2 linked regions of the Pelodiscus sinensis genome follow. The protein of the gene in region 2 interacts with the protein of the main gene of each other region in a biochemical or structural test. Links are inferred from orthologs where the notes say so. Each region holds a gene or a part of one and is shown on either strand. Other genes may lie near its edges.

The links.
Region 1: the proteins of torsin-1A-interacting protein 1 (region 2) and torsin-1A-like form a complex in vitro, tested with the Homo sapiens proteins (2 studies listed by BioGRID and IntAct). The link is inferred for Pelodiscus sinensis from reciprocal best matches to the Homo sapiens genes TOR1AIP1 and TOR1A.

The regions. Positions count from the first base shown.
Region 1 is NC_134732.1:12,898,189-12,908,827, reverse strand, and holds the start of torsin-1A-like, read left to right. Parts: upstream 1-6,754; 5' UTR 6,755-6,818; coding exon 6,819-7,023; intron 7,024-7,640; coding exon 7,641-7,906; intron 7,907-10,154; coding exon 10,155-10,330; intron 10,331-10,420; coding exon 10,421-10,548; intron 10,549-10,639. Other genes in the region: C22H9orf78 (splicing factor C9orf78 homolog), read left to right, coding at 579-715, 1,318-1,416, 3,360-3,451. UniProt on the Homo sapiens protein: Protein with chaperone functions important for the control of protein folding, processing, stability and localization as well as for the reduction of misfolded protein aggregates.
Region 2 is NC_134719.1:59,451,105-59,461,385, reverse strand, and holds the start of torsin-1A-interacting protein 1, read left to right. Parts: upstream 1-6,194; 5' UTR 6,195-6,404; coding exon 6,405-6,480; intron 6,481-9,195; coding exon 9,196-9,258; intron 9,259-9,319; exon of another isoform or gene 9,320-10,281. UniProt on the Homo sapiens protein: Required for nuclear membrane integrity. Induces TOR1A and TOR1B ATPase activity and is required for their location on the nuclear membrane. Binds to A- and B-type lamins. Possible role in membrane attachment and assembly of the nuclear lamina.

The DNA.
Region 1 (10,639 bases), on a different chromosome or scaffold from region 2:
AAAGCCTACCAGTGGAAACTCTTCTAATCAACTGGGCAGCATTGGAATCTTTCGGCTGCACAAATGCGCGCAGCTTACAGGGAACACTGCCACTAAGCCTCACCCTTAATGGGTGTGGTTTACTGGTTCTGGTTAACTGGTGGGGGCTAGAGCAGCTCTGGGCATCTGGAGTTGCCCCTGTCTGCAGCGGGACCATGTGTCACAGGCAGGAGGTGCTCCGGGCATCTGGTTAACCAGTTAACCAAATAAATGGAATTTTACCTCAAAATCTGTGATGCAGGGTCTTCTGGTAGTCTTGGCTCACACCAAGCACTACCATAGGGTGAGCTCTTCAGGGATGTGTGGTTTCTGTCCGTCCTTGGGACTAGAGCGCTCCTCTTTATCACATTGCCCCATTCTCTGACAAACAGCTTGCAAATCAAAGACAACTGCAATTGCTGTCCCCCCCACATGTAACTGTCCGTTCACTCACTCGTAGATAAAATTGCTCTACTGTGTATTTTGGTATATAGGGCCCCAGGCCTCTTTCTGTCTGCAGTGTATAAACAATTCTCTTCCTCACTGTATTCCCCTTTCAGTGCAAAAATAAAAAACATAATCTTTACTGAGGACGCCAAGGCAAGGCTGCTGGCAGAGCAGCAAAACAAAAAGAAAGACAGTGAAACTTCCTTTGTTCCCACAAACATGGCTGTGAACTACGTCCAGCACAACCGATGTGAGTATCTTGGAAACAGAGGCAGCAGCTGGGGGGCGGGAAGTGAGCAAATGCGCGTAATCGACAGGATTAACTGATAAGACCAGGCTTATCGGTTAATCGTGTATCTGAAGAAGTATCTGAAAGCTCATGATCCCATCTACATGTTTTGTTAGTCTTAAAAGTGCTACTAGACTATTTGTTGTTTTTTAAGCTTTTCCTGTTACAGACTAACTTGGCTTACCTCTCTGGAACATATGCATGTTGACAACCCTAACTATAACAGGGTTAAAAAAAGAACTAGATAATTTCATGGAGGATAAGTCCATGTGTGGCAATTAGCGTGGATGGTGAGGGATGGTGTCCTTAGTCTCTGTTTACCAGAAAATGGGAATTAGTGACAGGGATGGATCACTTGATTACCTGTTCTGTTTATTCCCTCTGCAGCACCTGGCAATGGCCACTGTTGGGAAAACATGATACTGGCTTAAATGGTCTGACCTGTTATGGCCAGCTTATGTTCTTATGACCTCTTGAGCTCCCTTCCAGCTGTACATTTCTGTGATTCTACATCTGAGCAATGCTGCTGTCTAAACTTCACCCTTTGGTGTGTCTCCTTCCAGTCTATCATGAGGAACTGAGTGCACCAGTGAGGAGGAATAAAGAAGAACCAAAAGCCCGACCACTGAGAGTGGGGGATACAGAGAAGCCAGAACCTGAGCGTGAGTACTAAACACAAAGCATGGCTAGCTTATTGGAGGTATCAATTCTTCCTTATCCAAGATCCATGAACAGATATAATCTTCTCCTCTAGCCCTCTAAGGCAGGGGTGAGCAAAATACAGCCCGTGGGCCAGATTTGGCCCATCATACATTCAGATCCAGCCCGCCCGCCACCAATATCCTCCCAGCCCAGTGGAACCTTAGGGCAGGCTCCCTGCCTGCTGCAGCCTCACATGCCACACAAAGTGGCTGGCTGCTGAGGCCAGTGTGCACATATCTGTGCAATGCGTGCCCCTTGGGAGGGGTCTCCGTGTGCTTCCCCCAGCACAATCCTTGCAGCTCCCAACAGGTGATTTCCAACCAATGTGAACTGCCTGGGCTGTACTTGCAGGCACGTACAGCCCACAGAGACCCACTTTCGCCTTTCCCCAAGGGGTGCACCACTCAGAGAGCACACGCTGGCCCCAGCAGACAGCCGCTTTGTCCACCACGCCCCCACATGCTGCTCAGAGAGCCTTCCTAAGGGTCCCATTGGGCTGCTGGACAGGTGCCACTAACGTAAGCACCTCCTAGCCAGAGCCTGCACCCCTGCTTTCTGCCCCAGGTCACAACTCAAACCCTCTGCACCCTGTCCTGCACCCTTGCCCCAGGTCATAACCCAAACCCTCTGTCCCCCTCCCCTGGTCACAACACCCTCCCAGACCCTGCACCCCCTTCCTACATCCCTCCTCCATGTCAGAATCCTCTCCTGCACCCAAACTCCCTCCCAGACTCCATTCTCATCCCTCTTGCACTTCAGTCCTCAACCAGAGCTCCCTCCTGTACCCAGCTTCGGTCCCAGAGCCCACACCACCTCCATTAATATCATAGAAAAGTACTGCCCTTGACCACTTTCCAAACTCTTGGGCAGTGTCTAAACTGCATCCCTTTTTCGATAAATGGATGTAGATTAGGCACGTCGATATTGCAAATGAAGTGCAGGATGTAAATATCCCGTGTTTCATTTGCATAATGGCGACTGCTGCTTTTTTCTGAAATGGGGCTCTTTCAGGAGGGACAGGGGGAAGAAACCACAGCAGTTTAGATGGGGCATTTTCAACAGAAATGCCCCATTTTGAAAGATGCTGTACTCCTCATTTTTTGAGGAGTACAGGATCTTTCGAAATGAAACTGTCCGTTTTTTGTTTTTTTTTTCTTTTGAAAAAGCCCTGTTTTGGAAAAAAGCGGCAGCTGCCATTATGCAAATGACGCGCGGGATATTTAAATCCCGGCTTCATTTGCAATATCGATGTGCCTAATCTGCATCCCCTTATCAAAAAAGGGATGTAGTTTAGACACAGCCTTGGAGTACCCCTTCCCATCAAATATGATTGCCCACCCCTGCTATAAGGCATGGTGTCCTGAGCTGGTGGGAAAGACTTGTAGAGTGATTTGCCTTTGATTTTCAAAGGAAAAGTGATGAAATGCAATTCTTGATGTGCTCCCTAATAGATACAACTTCCATCCATGTTGCTTTATGACTTATCTCCTGTTATAGGTGAAGGGTCAGGATGTTGAAAATAACCCATTGACTCCTTAGTAATGGTGTGTAGTCAGCCGTGGTATGGAGAGCTAACAGTCTCTGCTCCACAAAGGCTGGAGTAATGGGGGAATGTAAATGGTACGGTTTTTAAGTGTTTTGGGCAAAACTGTTTTGGAATGGATTGGGGGAGAGTGAGTAGGATTTGGAAGAATGAAGTCTGAAGAATTTTGGCATTGTTGAAGGCAAGAGTGTAAAATAGTAAGAGTGCTTGCAGGCCAGCTGGTTTAAAGGGCATTAGACTAAATCTTTGGGAAGTGAATGAGGATAATTTTTCCTGCGCTATCCTATTTATTAAAGAATAGGAAATAAAGTGTGTGTATGTGTCTCTCTCTCTCTCTCTCCCTCTCTCTCTCCTTTGAAGGGTCTCCTCCAAATCGCAAGCGTCCACCCAATGAGAAAGCAACAGATGATTACCACTATGAGAAATTCAAGAAGATGAACAGACGCTATTGAAATCTCTTCAGTATGGGCTGAACATTTTGCTGGAGCTTTTAAGTGAAAGGTGTTGTGTAAATAACTCTGTGGGATGGCTTCGTATCCATTTTTTTAATGTTACCCATAAGATTTTTCTCACAGTAAACTTGTAGTGAATTAGTTGCATGGTGATTGTGAAATCATCCTTCTCTGTGGTGACTTGTGTATAACTTATTTTGTTATAAACTTTCCTTTGTAAATATGTTGGCTTCCTGCTTGACATTTATTTTAGCATAATGTCAACCTTGTTCATAGATTTTTTTTTTTCCACTTTGAAAAAGATCTTTTAAAGACTGAAATGTTTTTAGCCCGTAAACAAGGAGTACAGGTTTAAAGCTGGTTTTCCAGGTCAAACTTCCAAAGCAATTTCATAAGAAGGTTCTTCTTGATAGTTCCAAAGGGCTTAAATTGTATGCAGTGTGTGGGTCTAAGATACTGCAGGAATTTGTTAAGCACACAGCAGGAGTCAGCTTCTTTTCCTGTTAGAGTGGGTACCATGTAAGATCTTGAACACATGCTACTCTGCAGGGATTGCAATTTGGCAGGATTTCTTATCTTCAGTATAAGGAAATACAGCAGTTGCTGTAGGTGCCTGAATTGTGAATGTTTTTGAGATTTTTAAATTGTCCCCTGTGTGTGTTTGTGTTTCCATAGCAATGAGTGTTTTATTTCAGTTGCCAAGGAGGAGAGAAATCAGTAGATTGTTTTCAATTTTTGTTTGGCTTTCTGATATGAAATCCTACATTATCCCTATCAAAAAAAACCAAAAAACCCTCAGATGTTAAAACACCATATTTCCAGAAATTAATATAAATTAAGTTGAGAAATGGAGTTTGAACTTTCAAAAAATAAATAACATTTTTAACCTGTCATTCTTGCAATTCTGTTATTTCAGTAATGGGCACACTAGATTCATCCTGTGCTGCTTGTATGTACTTAAATATTAGCCTAAACAAGTCTAAGTTTGTATGAAATTGATTAAATTATTGAATTAAAACAAGGATCAGCAGCTGTTGTCGTGAGACTTGGGAACATGAGTCAGCTCACATCCAGTGCTTTAGTAACCAACATTGTTGAATGCTTTCATAAATCTTCCGTATCATGTCAATCAATCTGAGTGAAATGTACAACAATGAAAATTAAAATGCTGGTTTGTATGCTTGTCTACAATATTAAAGGTAGTGGTAGGGTCAGGAGTTTGATACTAGCATATAGACATTTATCTGCTCAATCTTCATGGAGGTGTCAACCAAAGTATTTTCTGAGCATTGTTCCTAGCTGATATTTGAACCAAGTCAACAGCTAAGTTTTTTTTTCTTGGTCCAGTTGTTAGTAAGGAGTGCTCATATCACGGAAAATACCCTCACCCACAGCTAGCATGATTATTGACAATATCAGTGTAAAAAGGCAATGTGTGAACAAGGCATTGAGAGTGGAGTGCCGTCTGTTTTAAGAATTTCTGTCCTTAGTACTGTTGGACTGACACCTTTCAAATAAAATTAACATGAAACAAAAATGTAAAATCTATGCTACAAATCAAAAAGGCTAGCTTATGAAAATAGTTGAGGTAATATTGTCTGGCACTTCAAACATCTGACTAAGGGTACGTTTACATAGCTCATATGAGGGAGTCTTAGATCCTGGATGACTTGGGCTTCTGCTATTGCACTAAAAATAGCTGTGTAGATGCTTGCTCAGGCTGGATCTTGGCTGAGGGTGGAGCTTGGGCTATAACATCTGTACTATTTTTAGCACTATAGCACAAGCCCACAAACAAGAGTTTTGGTTGGCAGACTGAGATTCACTGCTGAGGGCTGCTACTCAGGCTACGTCTACACCTCACCAAATTTCAAAATAAACTGCTATTTTGAAACATCCTTGTGGAATGAAGTTTACTGGGACATCAGCAGAGCAAGCCTCTTAAGATGCAGGATAGCTATTTCGGGATACTCTGCTATCCTGAAATAGCATTACAGTGTAGATGTAGCCTCACTGTGCAGTTTCATGATTCAGTCACTGACAGACTGTGATCTGGAACATGTTGTTTAATGCCTCTGTGCATCTCTGCTTAATGTCATCTGTAAAATGGGGGAAATGATTGAGTTTCGGTCCCTGGGCTTGAAAGTTTTGTGACCATGTGACCTTTCATCTAATAGTTTTGTTAGAACAGTGAAATATTATGGCTAAGCAAAAGCGACGGCAAGTTCCTGCACCATTTAAAAAAAAATGACTAGCCATAAATACTAAACAGTATCTTAAGTGCTGTGTTTATATATAAAAAAAAATAAATAAATGCAGATAGTAAATGGAGATGACAATGCTACATCATCTAGCTAGTATTTTGAACAGGGCTGGGAAACCTAAGGCCCAGGGGCTGAATCCAGCCCCTGGCTTGCCTGAATCCAGCCCCCAGGGTTTGGGACTCTTTGCCCCCTCCCACCTTTAGCAGTGCTGACACTCCATGGAGCTGGAGTGCACAATCTACTAGCCAGGACTCCTTCCCCTCCCAACCCCCCAGCCCTGGTGTGAAAGGGAAATGTGGGGAGTGTCTCCTTCTTAGAGAGGGGCCACTTCAGTGAGGTGTTTGTTTTTTTGTGAGACAGTGGCCCCTAACCACTGTGCCAGTATTGTTTTTTTTTTTTTTTTTTAGCAAGGGAAGATTTAAAAGAGCTTTCAGCAGGCACTAGCGACTCAAAGGAGTCAGAACAAAACCGTTATTTATTAATTGCAGTTTCCAATAGGTGTTAGAAGGCTTCCTTCCAACAGTGTTCCTTGTAAACTGGCTGCTGGGGGTTAGCAGAGTGCACATGGGTTGTGTGTTGCTAGTAGCGGTGCTCTTTTGCACATGCACCCCTGCACCTACAATATTTTGTCCTGCACATAGATGGAAGAAATCTGCACCCGTCTGGAAACGAGTAGAGGGAGCTGGGGTGTGTGATCTAACCCGGCCACAAGCTGAACAGGGAGACGGAGGTTGCTTGCAGGGCCGCAGGGTGGGCACCGAGGACACGTCGGGACACGCACGCGGAAGCTACGTCACGACCTGCTCCGCCGACGGTCTTACGGCACGTGGAGCAGGATGCTACGTCATGACGGCGATACTGAGTCATTGCCTAGCTAACCTGTCACCTACTGAGTAGCGATCTCGCGGGAGAGGGCGGGCCCTTTCGGTCACGTGACAGTGACGGCCTGTTTCCAACATGGCCGCCGCCAACCTCAACCCTGGCCAACGCCTCTGCCCTCAACCAAGATGGTGGTGCCGGAAGCGACTAGTCCGGAAGCGGAAGTGGCTGTGCGGGGTGAGGGTGGCGCCTGACAGGCCGGGCTGGGGCCTGGCGGAGGGGGCATGAAGCTGCTGCGGGGGCCGCTGGGGGCTGTTCTGGGCCTTGCGCTGCTGCTGAGCCCGGTGCAGACGGTGGAGCCCATCAGCCTGGGACTGGCGCTGTGCGGGGCTGCCGCCTCAGCGCTCACCGGCTTCATCTCCTACCCGCGCCTCTACTGCTACTTCAGGGAGTGCTGCCTCCAGCGGGAGGGGACCCGGGCGGGAGCAGGTAGGTGGGCTGGGGCGGGGCTGGCGGTTATGGGGTCAGTACGTGTTGGGGGCGCTTGGGGGCTGTCCCTGTTGGTGGGGTTCAGCTTGGGGGCTGCTTAGGCTGGGGAAGGGTCCGGCCTCTCGGAAGATGCCCGCTGAGAGAGGGAGTCGGAGCTGGGTCGTTGGCTCTCGTGCAGCAGACAGGAAGGCGGGGAGGGCAAGATTAGAGGGCGCATGCCGAGGGGGTGTAGGAGGCTACAACTAGAGGAGAGGGCTGATAGTTTTGGGGGGAGGGGACGCTGGGGAGATGAAAGAACGTGTGGCTGCTTCCAGACAGAAGGAGCGGGAGTAAAAGGGGAACCTGGTGGTATGAGTCCCTCCACAGGAAGAGGGATGGTGATTGGCAGCTGGATCCAGAGCATCCCATTCCAGGGTCTGCAGTCTCCACTATTCAAGAAAAACGTGCTGGTTCCATTCTAATCAGGATAGCTCTTTGATCCCCTGGCAGCTGCCCTGGGATGAGCAAAGTTTAGGCACCTTGGGATATCAGAGAGGCCACCATTCCAAAGCAGCCTAGAAACATTAAAACCTATCACCTTTTTTTCTTCTTCTCTGGTTGGTGTCTCCTTCATTCAGCACTTCAGGAGGATTTGGATAAGAAACTATTTGGTCAGCACCTTGTGAAGAAGGTGATTGTGAAAGCTGTGATTGGCTTCTTGAACAACACAAACCCCAAAAAACCTCTCACTCTCTCCTTACATGGATGGACTGGTACTGGCAAAAACTTTGTCAGTAAAATAATAGCAGAGAGTATCTACGAAGGAGGCCTGAACAGCAACTATGTCCATCAGTTTGTGTCCACTTTGCATTTTCCCCATGCACATAGCATTAGCCAGTACAAGGTAAGAGTGCATTTGGAGCTCGATGTATTTTAAGTGTGATTGTGTGGGTTATCTCTTTTGTTAGATTATCAAGATTATGGGATCAGTAGTACTAACGAGTGAAGGCTTTTTATCTGAAACAGTAAAACACAATGTGTGCTGAGTCTGAAGTGCAAATGTGGAAACCCTAATGCAGGGGTCTCAATCTCCCAACCCACAGGCTAGCCCCAGCAGGAGCAATTGTGCAATGTGGCACAAGATTCCCAATGGGCCGGGTGGTGGTGAGGTCTGTGTATTACAGGCCCCCAAATAGCCATGTTCCCTCCGATGGCACCCTGTCCCCTGAGGGTACGGCTTGGGGATCACTATGGGAACCTGATGCCGTGTGGTGGTAGTGGTCTCCTCAGATTTCCTGGGGCAGACAGGAGCATGACAGGGTGATGACAGGAAAGGGTAGGGTTTAAGGGCTGGTAACGGACAGCCCCCCTCCCTCAGCTTGCCAGGAATCTCAGGCCAGATTGCGCAATTGTTCCAGCCAGGGATGGTTCACAGGTTGGGAGTTTGAGACCTGCGCTCAAATGTCTAGGGACTGATTTTACCTGTACATTTTTAAAAAATTGTTTATGCAGCCTCTCATGTTACTGTTCAGAGGGAAAGGACATAGGAAGTCAGCATGGGACGTGGGTTCAGTTCTCTGCCCCAAATATCCCACCACAGGTTTTCCTGTGTATCTTTGGGCATGTGATTTAGTCTTTCCTTACCTCAGTTTCTCAACTGAAAAATGGGGCTAGGTGTACTTTGTCCCTCTCAGGGGTTTTTGTGAGCATGAATACATTAAAGAGTGAAATGCCAAGACATACCCGTGGCTACATTAATCAGGTACATATGTGAGTCAGCACAGTTTAGGGAAATCCCACTGCTTGTGTTCCTGAATTTGAATCCTGATTCTGCCACTAGGTTGTGTGAAAGAGTCTATTCTGCAGTCTGCAAAATGAGGATGAAACTTTTCTACATAATGAGTAGTATGCAGATTAGTGAACTTTGTACTGTGTTTTGAACTTAAACACAAAATGTATGCATATTGAAAACTTAAAAGAATGGAACGTTTTAGCTTTTAAAATGGAGAATTCTACTTTTTCTCTAGTTTATGTATTTCCCCTTGTAAAGGTTTCTATTATCCTGCCCCAAATGAGTCCTGAAAGCAGTGGTGAAAATGGATCTTTATGTTCTTTGGTCATGTAAAAAGAAAAACAGCATGTGAAATTCACTTAATGGACAGTGCGCAGTCTTCCCTACACTGCCTTTTCCATGTACAGGGACCAAATAATTGTGAGATTGGTAAAATGAGCTGAGTCACTGTTTTGTTTTATATCAACTGTCCTGTTCCTTTCCTTTCTCATTACTAATCTTAAACATAACTTTTAATACTGTAGTGGGTAAATACCTGAGCCATACAGGCATACCTCAACTTTACAATGTTTGACTTACAACAAATGGCACCTATGTTTCTGAATTGACACCACAATTCAATTTTATAATGCTTGGTCCTGCAAGGGAGTGGATTGTAGTTCTGAGTTATGATGTTTAGACTTATGACACAATTTTCAGGAATTGTCTGTGTCATAAATCTGAGGACTGCCTGTATAATGAAATATTTAAATAAGATTACCCCCTTCCTGAACAAGACTACACTTTTTAAACATTTAAAATCACCTGCAGTTAGATTACTTACCAGTGGTTAAAGCATAGGAATAGGAGTTATGATTCTGTGTTCTATACCTAGCTGTTCCAGTAATTTTTATGTTATTTTGGCTAAGTCACGTAATCACTCACTGACTCAACTAATGAATGTTGGAAAATGTTTTGAGTTCTAAGGATGGAATATGCTACTTGACTGCAGATTATTAGCACCAAAGAAAATAATTTTCCCCACTGGCATTCACTTTATCTTGCGAGGTAGGTTGTTGCTTCATATCCATATTTATTCACTGGCTTGAAATATAGTCTTTTTCATGGATACCTGCAGAGAGATTCCGGTTGTTAAGGTTATTTTAACAACCAGAATGCATTTCTGTTACTATGTTCCTTTTATCATTCTTTACAGCTGACCTTTTAACCAGATTTCAATCAAGAAATTCACACAATTTTAGGTGCACAATTGAAGTTACAGCTTTTGAATGAAAAGCAGCGATCTATACATTTCCCGTGTCTTCAAGGTGACACAGATGCAGTTGGAATATGCAATCTCCTTTATTTTTGTATAACATAGGACCAGTTGCAGTCCTGGATTCGAGGAAACGTGAGTGCCTGTGCCAGGTCAATCTTTATATTTGATGAAATGGATAAAATGCACGCAGGGCTCATTGATTCCATCAAACCGTTCTTGGACTATTATGAGCAGCTTGATGGGGTGTCCTATCGGAGAGCCATCTTCATCTTTCTCAGGTGAGGAGCATCGGTGAAATCCTTGCAATGCTGTAAACTGAATGCTCTGTGAAACCCATCCAGCTGAAATCCTTTCCCTCCATCACACAGCAATGCAGGGGCCGAAAAGATAACAGATGTGGCATTAGATTTCTGGAGAAGGGGAAGAAAAAGGGAAAACATGGAACTCAGAGACTTGGAAGCTTCATTGTCTGTGTCTGTCTTCAACAATAAGAATAGTGAGTAATTTTGATTGTTCCCATGGCTAAAAGTCCTTCTCTTTGAGTGGTTCAGCATCTTTCTGGTATTTGCCAACTGCCTCTTTGGAGA
Region 2 (10,281 bases):
TGCATCCGGGCATTAGGTTCCCCACCCGTGAGTTAGTGGTTTTGTTCTGATTACAAATATAATTATTTTCAGGAAGTAACTCCTCTGTTTGGACTTACCGAACTCTACAATTGTACAGAGCATCCTTCAAACAGAGTGTATCTGAAACCAGTTTGGAACCAGTGAAATGGTAGAATTACATTCATATAATCATTTTCGGGCAAATTCCAAAGAAACGTAGCCTCCTTGCAGCTCAAGCACTACTCAGCTCAGTCTCTAGCTAGGACCCTAGGTGGGTCTGGCTGGATGTTCAGTCTGTCTCCGTCACTCGTGACCTCACCACATAACCAAATTCCCAATTGTAGATTACCGCCAGCTCAAGATTACTCTATCTGGATGGGACACTTAAGAGGCATCATAGACTGTGCTGGAGGATGCTCGAAAGATGTGGATGCTTGTATAGCAGCACCTGCTGCCAAATGTGCCCTTCAGTGGTCTTTGTGGAGACGCCATGACATCAAGCTTGCTACGAAGTTGCAGACTTAATAGAACTAGAGTTACACCAACTTTATTGTACAGCAGAGAAGCAGGGCACTATGGAAGACTGAAGAGAGTGGATTGATTGTTTTGATTCGTCATCAGCTGCTCCATAGTAAGTGGCAAACCAAGATCAACAATGAGGATACTCAGAATTAAACCCAGCAACTGTATCTTTCAGCCTAGGTGGCTTCCTGGGTGCCGACCTATTCTTAGGATGGAAGGCCAATTAACAGAATTACAGCAGAGGGAGAAAGTATTAAGAGGCATAAGACAAGGGAAAAAGAGGTGATTTATGTAAAAGCAAAGATTTATGTACAGCACTGGCACAATGGGAGCCTGATTTGGTCTGGACCAATAGTACTACATAGTACAAATGACAAGTAATCTGTGGTTGCTTTTTTTTTTTTTTTTTTTTTCAATTACACAGGCCAGTGTAAAACAGCAAGTAGGAAAGACAAATCAGAGAAGCCAAGATTTATTAGGTTTTTTTTTCTGGAACCCAAACCAGCCCCATTTAGAAAATAAATTGTCCCGTTGGCCTTCCTGACATATGGCCACATTATTAAGCTAGCCTTGTACAAACTAGGCTCCAGGGTCGAGCAGCTTCAGTGTAAAAGGTGGAATTTTTCAAATGTTATAACTTGGGATATAATATTGCTACATGCATTTTCCCATGATGAGAGGTCTTAATTTTTAAATTATATCTCACAGGGCATATTTTGTGCAAAGATTATTACAGTAGCGTTTAGGGAGAGAATACAGGAGTACATTTGATCACACATACTTGAAAATATAAAGCTAAACAGTTTTTGAATTACTGGCAATTATAACTATTCTAATTGGAAATGTTGGCTTGTCTAATTTTGTCTCCCTCTAGCAAAATTACAATTTTTCACAATCCGTTGGGGGTGGGGGGGGGGGGGGGGGTTGCTAGGTGTATATATTGTCGCTTAGCAATGTTAACTTTTTTAAAGCAAAGGTTTTTGGATTTTATTTTAGAAATATAACAAGCTAGAAAAGGATCAATAGATCACTTTGTATCACAGAAGTCTGCTTGATTACACAGAGCGTATCTTGAAATGCTGCTTTTCATTTACAGTCAGTAACCACATAATTTAATTCTTGTAAAGCCCTTGGAGACTTTTGGATGAAGGTAAAATGGAAAGATTTTACCTGCACATTTACCGGATGACTGAAAGATTACGAATCAGTCATTTACTAGCTCTTTCTATCTGACTTAAATCAGAATAAATAGCTCTGTGGACTTTAAAACATCTCGATTAGGTGATTATCTCTGTAACACTCTGTTGTGCTGCTTAATGAAACATAAAGCTCATCTTATTTGCTCTCCTATTCCATCTTAAAAGAATGACAGTTCATACATTTGGGCCTGGCACAGAAGGCATGCATAATTTACGTAACACATTTTCCCTTGCTTCTAAACAAAATTTGAACTTCAAGAGAACACTTGTACAACACTATTAAACATTTTTTTCTTCTTTAATAAACATCAGACTTGAGAGGTAGAGAGGCTAGGAAGTGAGAAAAGTTGTTGTCCCACATTCTTACGAAGTGCTCAGAGCATGTCCGTGTCTCCTTAAATAATTTACAATGTTCCAGGATGAAAAAAAAGGCATCAGCCTAAATAAGATGGACTTTGCTGTAGGAATGAGGTGCTGTCTTCCTCCCTTCCCCCAGTCCCTCCCAGGTTTAGTAAAATAAAAACCCTTTAGGACCTCTTCATTTTATAGTTAAATCAGCCTTGCCTAAATCATTTGTATATACGTTGTGTGCTGTATTTGCTCAAATCTATATGAGAAAAATAAATCTAATAATGATCGTCAGCACCCTCCTTAGGTGGTTGTGGAGCCTGGAACAACACCCTCTCCTCCCCCCACAGGGCCAGCCCACTACATTTTGGCAACTGCGGCGGGGAGTTCAAATGATGCCCCCTTTTCTCCTGCCTGCCTGTTGTCTCTTGTGCCCTCCTTCCTCCAGCACATCACTTCACCATCTCTGTGCATCTAGAGTAGAGAGAATACATCTGCACCAGCAGCAGACACAATTTTCTACACTTTGGGTTCTAGTGGCGCCCCCCCCCCCCCCCCCCAGTCTGGCACCTGAGGCAGCCGCCTCAGTTCGCCTCATAGTAAGGCCAGCCCTGCCTCTGCCCCTGCCTCCGTCCCCACTCCAACCCTCGTCCCTGCTCCACTCCTCCCCCACCTCTGCCTGAACCAACACTGCCTCCTCCCAAGCAACATGGCCTGGGGAATTACTGGGGGGCCATTACCCCCCTTGTACTCCTGTGGTGGTGGGAAGCAGAATAACCTGGCCCTAGCCTGCTCTACTCCCTGGCTACGTCTTCACTAGCACCCTTTTCCGGAAATGCTTAAAACGGAACAGTTTTCCGTTTTAAGTATTTCCGGAAAAAGCGTGTCTACATTGGCAGGATGCTTTTCTGGAAAAGCACTTTTTCCGGAAAAGCGTCCGTGGCCAATCTAGACGCGCTTTTCCACAAAAAAGCCCCGATCGTCATTTTTGCGATCGAGGCTTTTTTGCGGAAAACACTACTGTGCTGTCTAGACTGGCCCTTTTCTGGAACAGTTTTCCGGAAAAGGACTTTTGCCCGAACAGGAGCAGCATAGTTTTTCCAGAAAAGCACTGATGATTTTACAGTAGATCGTCAGTGCTTTTCTGGAAATTCAAGGGGCCAGTGTAGACAGCTGGCAAGTTATTCCGGAAAAGCGACTGATTTTCCGGAATAAGTGGCCAGTGCAGACACAGCCCCCGAGCCCAGCTTCAAGCCCTGTTGCTCAGGAGACTGGAGGAGGTTAGGACTCTGGCACCTACTTCCGCCTAGGAGATGGCGAAGCAGAGCGTGCTGAGGCTGGACTGCTTCGCTTCCTGTGGCTCCCACGCTCCCTGGTGAGTACGGGGCTGGGCCCGACCCTGCTACTGTCCCAGAACCCCTGGGTAATCACCGAGGCTGCCCTGACATCATAGGGTTCCCCAAAATGCAGGGCTCGGGGCCACCCCAACCATTCTATGGATGAGATAGCTCTGATGATCTTGAATTTACATCATATCTTGTATCCAGATTGATCCCAGATAACATTATATGCTGTACTTGTAAACCACCCTGGGTGCTGTGTGTCATTAAAAATTGTATTTATAAAAATCAAACTTCCATACTATTTGTTACAGGAAAGGAATAATTAGAACTGTTGATTAATCATAGATAACTCACACAATTAACTCAAAATTAATCACAATTAAAAATTAATTGTGCTTAATCACACTGTTAAACAACAGACTACCACATGAAATGTATTAAATATTTTGGATGCTTTTTTAAATTTTCAGATATATTGATTTGTATTATGACACAGAATACAAAGCGTGCAGTGCTCACTTTATATGGTTACATTTGATTACTATCATTGGCACTCTAAAAATGATAATAGTATTTTTCAATTCACCTCATACAAGCACTGTAGTGCAATCTCTTTATCATGAAAGTGTAATTTAAAAATGTAGATTGTTTTGTTGCATAACTGCACTCAAAAACAAAACAATGTAAAACTTTAGAGCCTACAGATTCATTTAGGTTGAACAAGAGGTAGAACTAACGCAAAGAAAAGCAAGTTTTTTTACATCTATGGGAGATACTGCTACCAGCTTCTTATTTCAGAGGACCTCCTTCCATGCTTATGATGGATTCTGCTTGATAACAAGGTTTCATATTATTTTATTTTTGAATGCTGTTACTTTTTGTACATAATTCTATCTTGGTAAGTTAAACCCCCACGATAAAGAGATTGCACTACGGTACTTGTATCAGTTGAATGAAAAATACTATTTATTTTGTTTTTTTACAGTGCAAATATTTTAATAAAGTGAACACTTTGTATTCACTTTGTATTCTATGTTGTAATTGAGAGCAGTATATTTGCAAATGAAGATAACATCCACAAGTATTTAAATAAATGGTAAACTTAAAAAACAACCAATAGTTTAGCAGCACCTTAAAGACTAACAAAACATGTAGATGATATCATGAGTTTTCGTTGGTACAACCCACTTCTGCTGTTGTACCCACAAAAGCTCATACCATCTACATGTTTTGTTAGTCTTTAAGGTGCTGGTAGGCTGATTGGTTTTTTTAAAGTTTTTCCAGTTACAGACTAACTCAGCTACCCCTCTGAAGCTAAATAAATGGTTTTCTATTATTAACAACATAATTAATCACAATTACATTTTTAACCAATTGACAATCTTAGGAAAAACAATATATACATTTATGTTAATTTCATTGTTTTTAATCTCATAACTCTTTTGCACAACATATTAGTGATTTGCAATCGCATCAACCCCCACAGGTAGATATTTCGTTAATCCCATTTTATGGCAAAATTGAAGTACTCCTAGGCACCAACCCAAAAAATGCTTATATGTAGAAGTTGCTACATATATGTGAGTAGCTCCATTGACTTTAATGGGGCTTCTCATGTGAGTTGGGTTTAGTGTGTGTGAAACCGCTTGTTCAAGTACAGGCAGAAAAGCTATGACAAAAGCACTCTGGACTCCCAGTCCTTTGCCTGTCTCATTGCCTTCTCCCTGCTTGTGGCTGTAGCTTTTCCATTTCTCTCAAAGGGCCATGTGGAGACAGGTCAATTTCACTTTTGTTGCTAGTCACTTTCATAGCCCATTCCTCCCAAGCTTGTTTAAAACAAACTATGGGGACCAACTGAGAAGCTTCCCAGAACCATCTCCCTGCCCCCAACTATCATAAGTGCTAGACTTTCCAAAGCTACATGTGGGGGGCCCTGTTGGCCAAGAGCCTCCAGCAGCACTGCTGGGACTGGAGGAGCCCGTTTTAAAACCTATTTCAGAGGCTAGAGTGCTGCAAACTCTTAGGGCAAGGAGCTATCCTGCTTCCACCTCCCCAGAAATCACTGGGGCAGCAGCTCCCAGTGTCCCTTTTCAATTGGTGCTGGAACTAAGGGCGTTGGTGCACCTCCCAGGGCCTGAAGTGGTTTTCATCCCATCCAGGGTTTACACTTTGCTTCACTAGCTCTCAGCCCCCTACCCCACTGCGCAAACTCCTCGCCCCTCGCTTTGCCCCTGCCGCCTGGAGAATGGGGCTAAGGCAAGTCCACGGGAAAGGGGACAGTGCCAGCCCCTGCTCTGTGGGAGAAGGGGACAGAAAGCGAGGGAGGGAGAGGGGAGAAAGGGGGGATAGAGGGGGCGGGGGCCAGAAAGGGGGGAGGGAGAGGGGGCGGGGACAGAAAGGGGGGAGGGAGAGGGGATAAAGGGGGTGGGGACAAAGCGGGGGAGGGGAAAAGTGGGGATAGAGGGAGCAGGGACAGAAAGGGGGAGAGAGAGGGGGAAAAGGGCGGATGGGGGGCAGGGACAGAAAGGGGAAGGGAGAGGGGGGAAAAGGGGAATGGGGGGGCGGGGACAGAAATCGGCCGGGAAGGGAGGATAGCGGGGAGGGGGTAGAGGGGGCGATAGGGGGCGGGGACCAGCCCCAGCTGTTGACAGCTGCGGGGCAGAACAGGGGCTGAGAGCTAAGCAAAGAGCGAGCGCAGCTGTGACACGGTGCTGTATCACGTGACTTCCAGTCCAGCGGGGAGGGCTCGCGGGAAAAGCCCTGCAAGAGAAGCGGCCCTCCCCGCAGACTTCCGCCCTTCAACATGGCCGACAGGAAGTGAGGCTTTCAGGAAAGCGAAGCCAATCACCTAGTTGCGACGGCAGCGGCTTCCGCCCCGGAAGAGCAAGGGCGTGTCCGGACGGAAACGCGGCCGGCGGGGGAGGCGTTCCGCGCGGCGGGAGAACGCGCCGAGAGCCGTCTCGCGCCTGAGCTCCGGGCAGCCACCGCCGAGATGCAGACGCGACGAAGAGCCGCGGCCGGGGCCAAGGAGCCGGAGCCCAGGCGGCGGGGCGCCGAGGCCTCGGAACGTGAGTGACTGAGGAGCCGTTGCTGATCCCGCGACGCGCCCTCTGCTTGAGGGCGCAGGGGAGGGGGGACCCCGACGAGGGGTGGCCGAGCCCCCCTTGGGGGAGCTGCCGCGCTCTGCCCCCCGCTGCGGGGCGGGGCCATCGCCGGGGGGGTTTCCTTGCCCCGCGCCCGGCTTCTCCTGGCCGTTAAACGGTTCCCTTGAGACCGTTGCCAGCTGAGGCGGGCGGGGGGGCCGAGGGGGCGCCCGGGCTCTACCATGTGACCGGCCCATCTGACCAGCAGGCACCTCGGGTTTAGGCAAATTAGCCTCTGAGGGGCCGGGGCCGGGCGGCTCTGGAAAGCGGCCTGACAGCGGCTTTGTTTTGCGCCCCGCTTCGTTCCCTTCCGCTCCCTGCTGCGTCCGCGCGGGCAGCGGGTGGCGCCTGTTCACCTCAACTGGAAACAGCCCCCCGGGCTCCGGCAGCTCTGTGCAGACTCCCCGAGCGTGGGGAGGGGTCGCGAGCGTTCGTGGGCGCAGCCCGGGTTGCTATTCCACGTGTTACTGTTGAGCAGGCAGGGAAGAGATGTGGCCCGAGCTCAGTCAGCCCGGGCGTCGTGCTGAGCATTTTCCCACTCGATTGTCTATAAAAATCGTTAAGGAATCTACATGGAGCCGGTTAAGTTGTGCATTGTGCCACGTTCGTCTTCAGTGGGCCCCAACGCGGAGCCCGTGGGCGCCATGGCGCCCGCCGGGCCATTTATGTGCACTTGCGGAGCAATCTGGGCTGGCCCCGCCCTGGGCGTGCGGCAGGTGTCAGCCCCGGGCGCATGGGTGACCCCTGCCCGGGGTCGCAGCACATGCCAGTACTGGCCCCAGGCACACAGCACCTGGGCAGCCCCTGCCCGGGGTCACGGCACATGCTGGTGCCGGCCTGGAGCGTGCGGCGCATGCTTGGCCCCGCCCCCAGGCACGTGGCCTGTGAGCAACCCCGCCCCCGTAAGCGCAGCACGTAAGCGGCCCTGCCCCCAGGCGCCCGGCAGCCCCAAAATGTTGGGAACCCCTAGTCTTAGTTGTCTTGCCCCAACATAATTTTGTGTCTAAAGTCAGTTACAAATAGACCAGTGAATTGTATTTATCAAATAGCTGATACGCATTAGCTTCCATACAGTACTTACTCATTTAACATGTGCCCACTTTACACGTTTTTGCAATAGCACGATTTTTTTTAGGGAATGTTTTTCAAATAACACAACCGTCCTCGAAATAACAGGATAATAATCAAGTGGCAGACTACTTCACGCTGCGGTATAAGTTGGTGAAAACAGTGATAATACGCAGGGCTCGACAATTAGTGTAATCTACTTGCCTGTGGCAAGTAGATTACAAGCCCGCGCAGTACGCCGCTCAGCACAGCTGGTGAGGGGGGTTCACCGCCGCTTGGCGAGCCCTGGTAATATGCATGAACGGATGAATACACGTGGTCACAGCGCTTCTCTGCTCACTCATGTGTCTGTCTATCTTTGTGTTTTAACAAACCACAGTGACTTGTGTTGCTAGATATCTAATGTTGACGACCCAGCACTAACAAAAAATTGACTTTGCCACCACTGCCTGAAATGCAACCTCCACCTTTTACATTATTTTTAATGGGAAAATTTACCCCGCATAGCACGTTTTCTCTTAGCCTGAACATTTTCAGAAACACATCTATAGTGTTAAATGAGGGATTACTATACAGCTTTAATGTATTTTTAAAATGAATCCCCTAAAAATGGGAATGACACAGATGAAGTTGCTTGTATGCTGTCGGTTGAATTTCACTCTTGCTTTATTCACTATGCACCAAAGACCAAATCTTGCTCTAGTAGTATTTCATAGTAAATTGGAAGCATGGCATTTAGCTTTACTCTATAGCTGTGGTAACGGGTATGCAGGCCTGCCTTACTTCCACAGAAATGTGAAGTGCTGTATAACTTCCTGCTTCTACAGAGTTCTTGAGTGGTGCAGGAGAAGGGGCTACTCTGTACTTGCTCTCCTGCAAAGCTCTTCACGTTGACAGAGAGGCATTTCACACCTCTTTGAAGCGTTGTTTCACTCTCTTTGCTGAGTTTGCCAAGCTTCATTGGGTCTCTTTTCAGCTAGCTCACAATTTCAGTGTTCTCTGTGCAACCATAATGGGTGGAGACTTTTTTGTAGGGTTTTTTTTTGTTTGTTTAGTTTAGTTTCTGGCGCACAAGGTCTCAGAGGGGTAGCCTTGTTAGTCTGTAACTTTAAAAAAGCCCCGAATAGTCCTGTGGCACCTTAGAGACTAACACAAATATATAGATAGATAGTATCATAAGCTTTCATGGGCAAAACCCAGTTCTGATTACAGCAACCAAGGCAGAATACCAGGTCACCAATCTAGGGTGACCTGGCTTGAACTTACCATTGCTATTTAGAAGGGGTATATCTTCTACTTTTATTTTTACTTCCATTCCTCTTCCTTTCTGGTATCTATTTCTTCTCCTATCCTTACACTTTTAAATTAAACAAAAAAGCTTCAGTTGAATTATAAAGCTTGTGCATTTGAATATTTGATAATTCGTTCATGTGGTTGTAGGAGTGATTTTACTAGTGCTTTTATAAACTGAATAACAAATGAATTTCCTGACACTTGTTTTTATTGATATGTGCACACTATTTTACTGGCTTGTTTCTAAAATGCTTTTTTTTTTCTATGTATGTTTTGAAGCATCTGTATACAGAAGACAAATGACCAACAAAAATGACAACAGGCAGAAACGCTTGATAGACGGTAACAGTGGGCTTTCTTTCCTTTTCTTTCGCCAGTTAGAGGAAATCTTCTCTTTCCAGATAGTATGAACTGATACCAATTATAAATTAGCATATCAAAACATCTACAATACACTGTTTCAACAACTTAACTATGTGCAGAGAATGCAAAGTAATACTAGACTTCACTCTGTAGTATTACATAACTTCAAATACTTAAGAGACTACTAGATTTTAAATTGCCGTTACATAGTGAAGGCACTGTTGTGCCCTTTCAAAGAATTTCTGTAAAAAGGACTTTTGCAAGGAGATGAGTAGGAGTTTTATTCAGTTACTTCTGTATAGTCTCCATTTCTGATTAATAAAAATAGAATATTACAAACACCGAGGTTCCTTGGGTCCCAGCATGTAGTTTAGATACAGCCAGATAACACCTGTGTATATATATAGGATTTTACTTGGTCAAAGAAAACAGTATTTATTGTTCTCACAGTGCCGTATTCTTGAATCAAAGATTGGTTTCCCAATTCATTGGTGTTCAGTTATTCCATATGGTTAGGAATTAGGAGGATGGTACTGCCAAACAATTTTTTTAGGACTTAGTATCTTACTTTTATTGATCTCTGGGCTCTTTGATGCTTTAACCTCTGTAGAATTGAGGGATTGGGGGACTGCACTTCCTCTTTAGCTCCTCAGTGACATCTGGCAAGTGTCATGGAGCCTGATCGTTGATTCTTTTGGGTTGGTCTAGGAGCAGATTTTAGGCAGGAGCAAACTTTGCTTCATTTATAGAAGTTTAGTCCAACTGACCTGGTGAATCACTTCAAAGTGTGTCCTGTCTCAGTCCCTGTGATAGAATCAACTGTTGTCATTCATTCAGGATTGAATTCTGCCGGGCGCGTACCATTTTTGACCTTCAGGTCCAGAGCATTGGCCAGTACCCCTAAACTGAGTGACTGCCTGCAGAAATAGATTGTCATCTTCTATGTAGATCAGCTGTTAGAGGCTGTCAAGGCTGTTCCCCACTCTGGTACTACGAATGCAG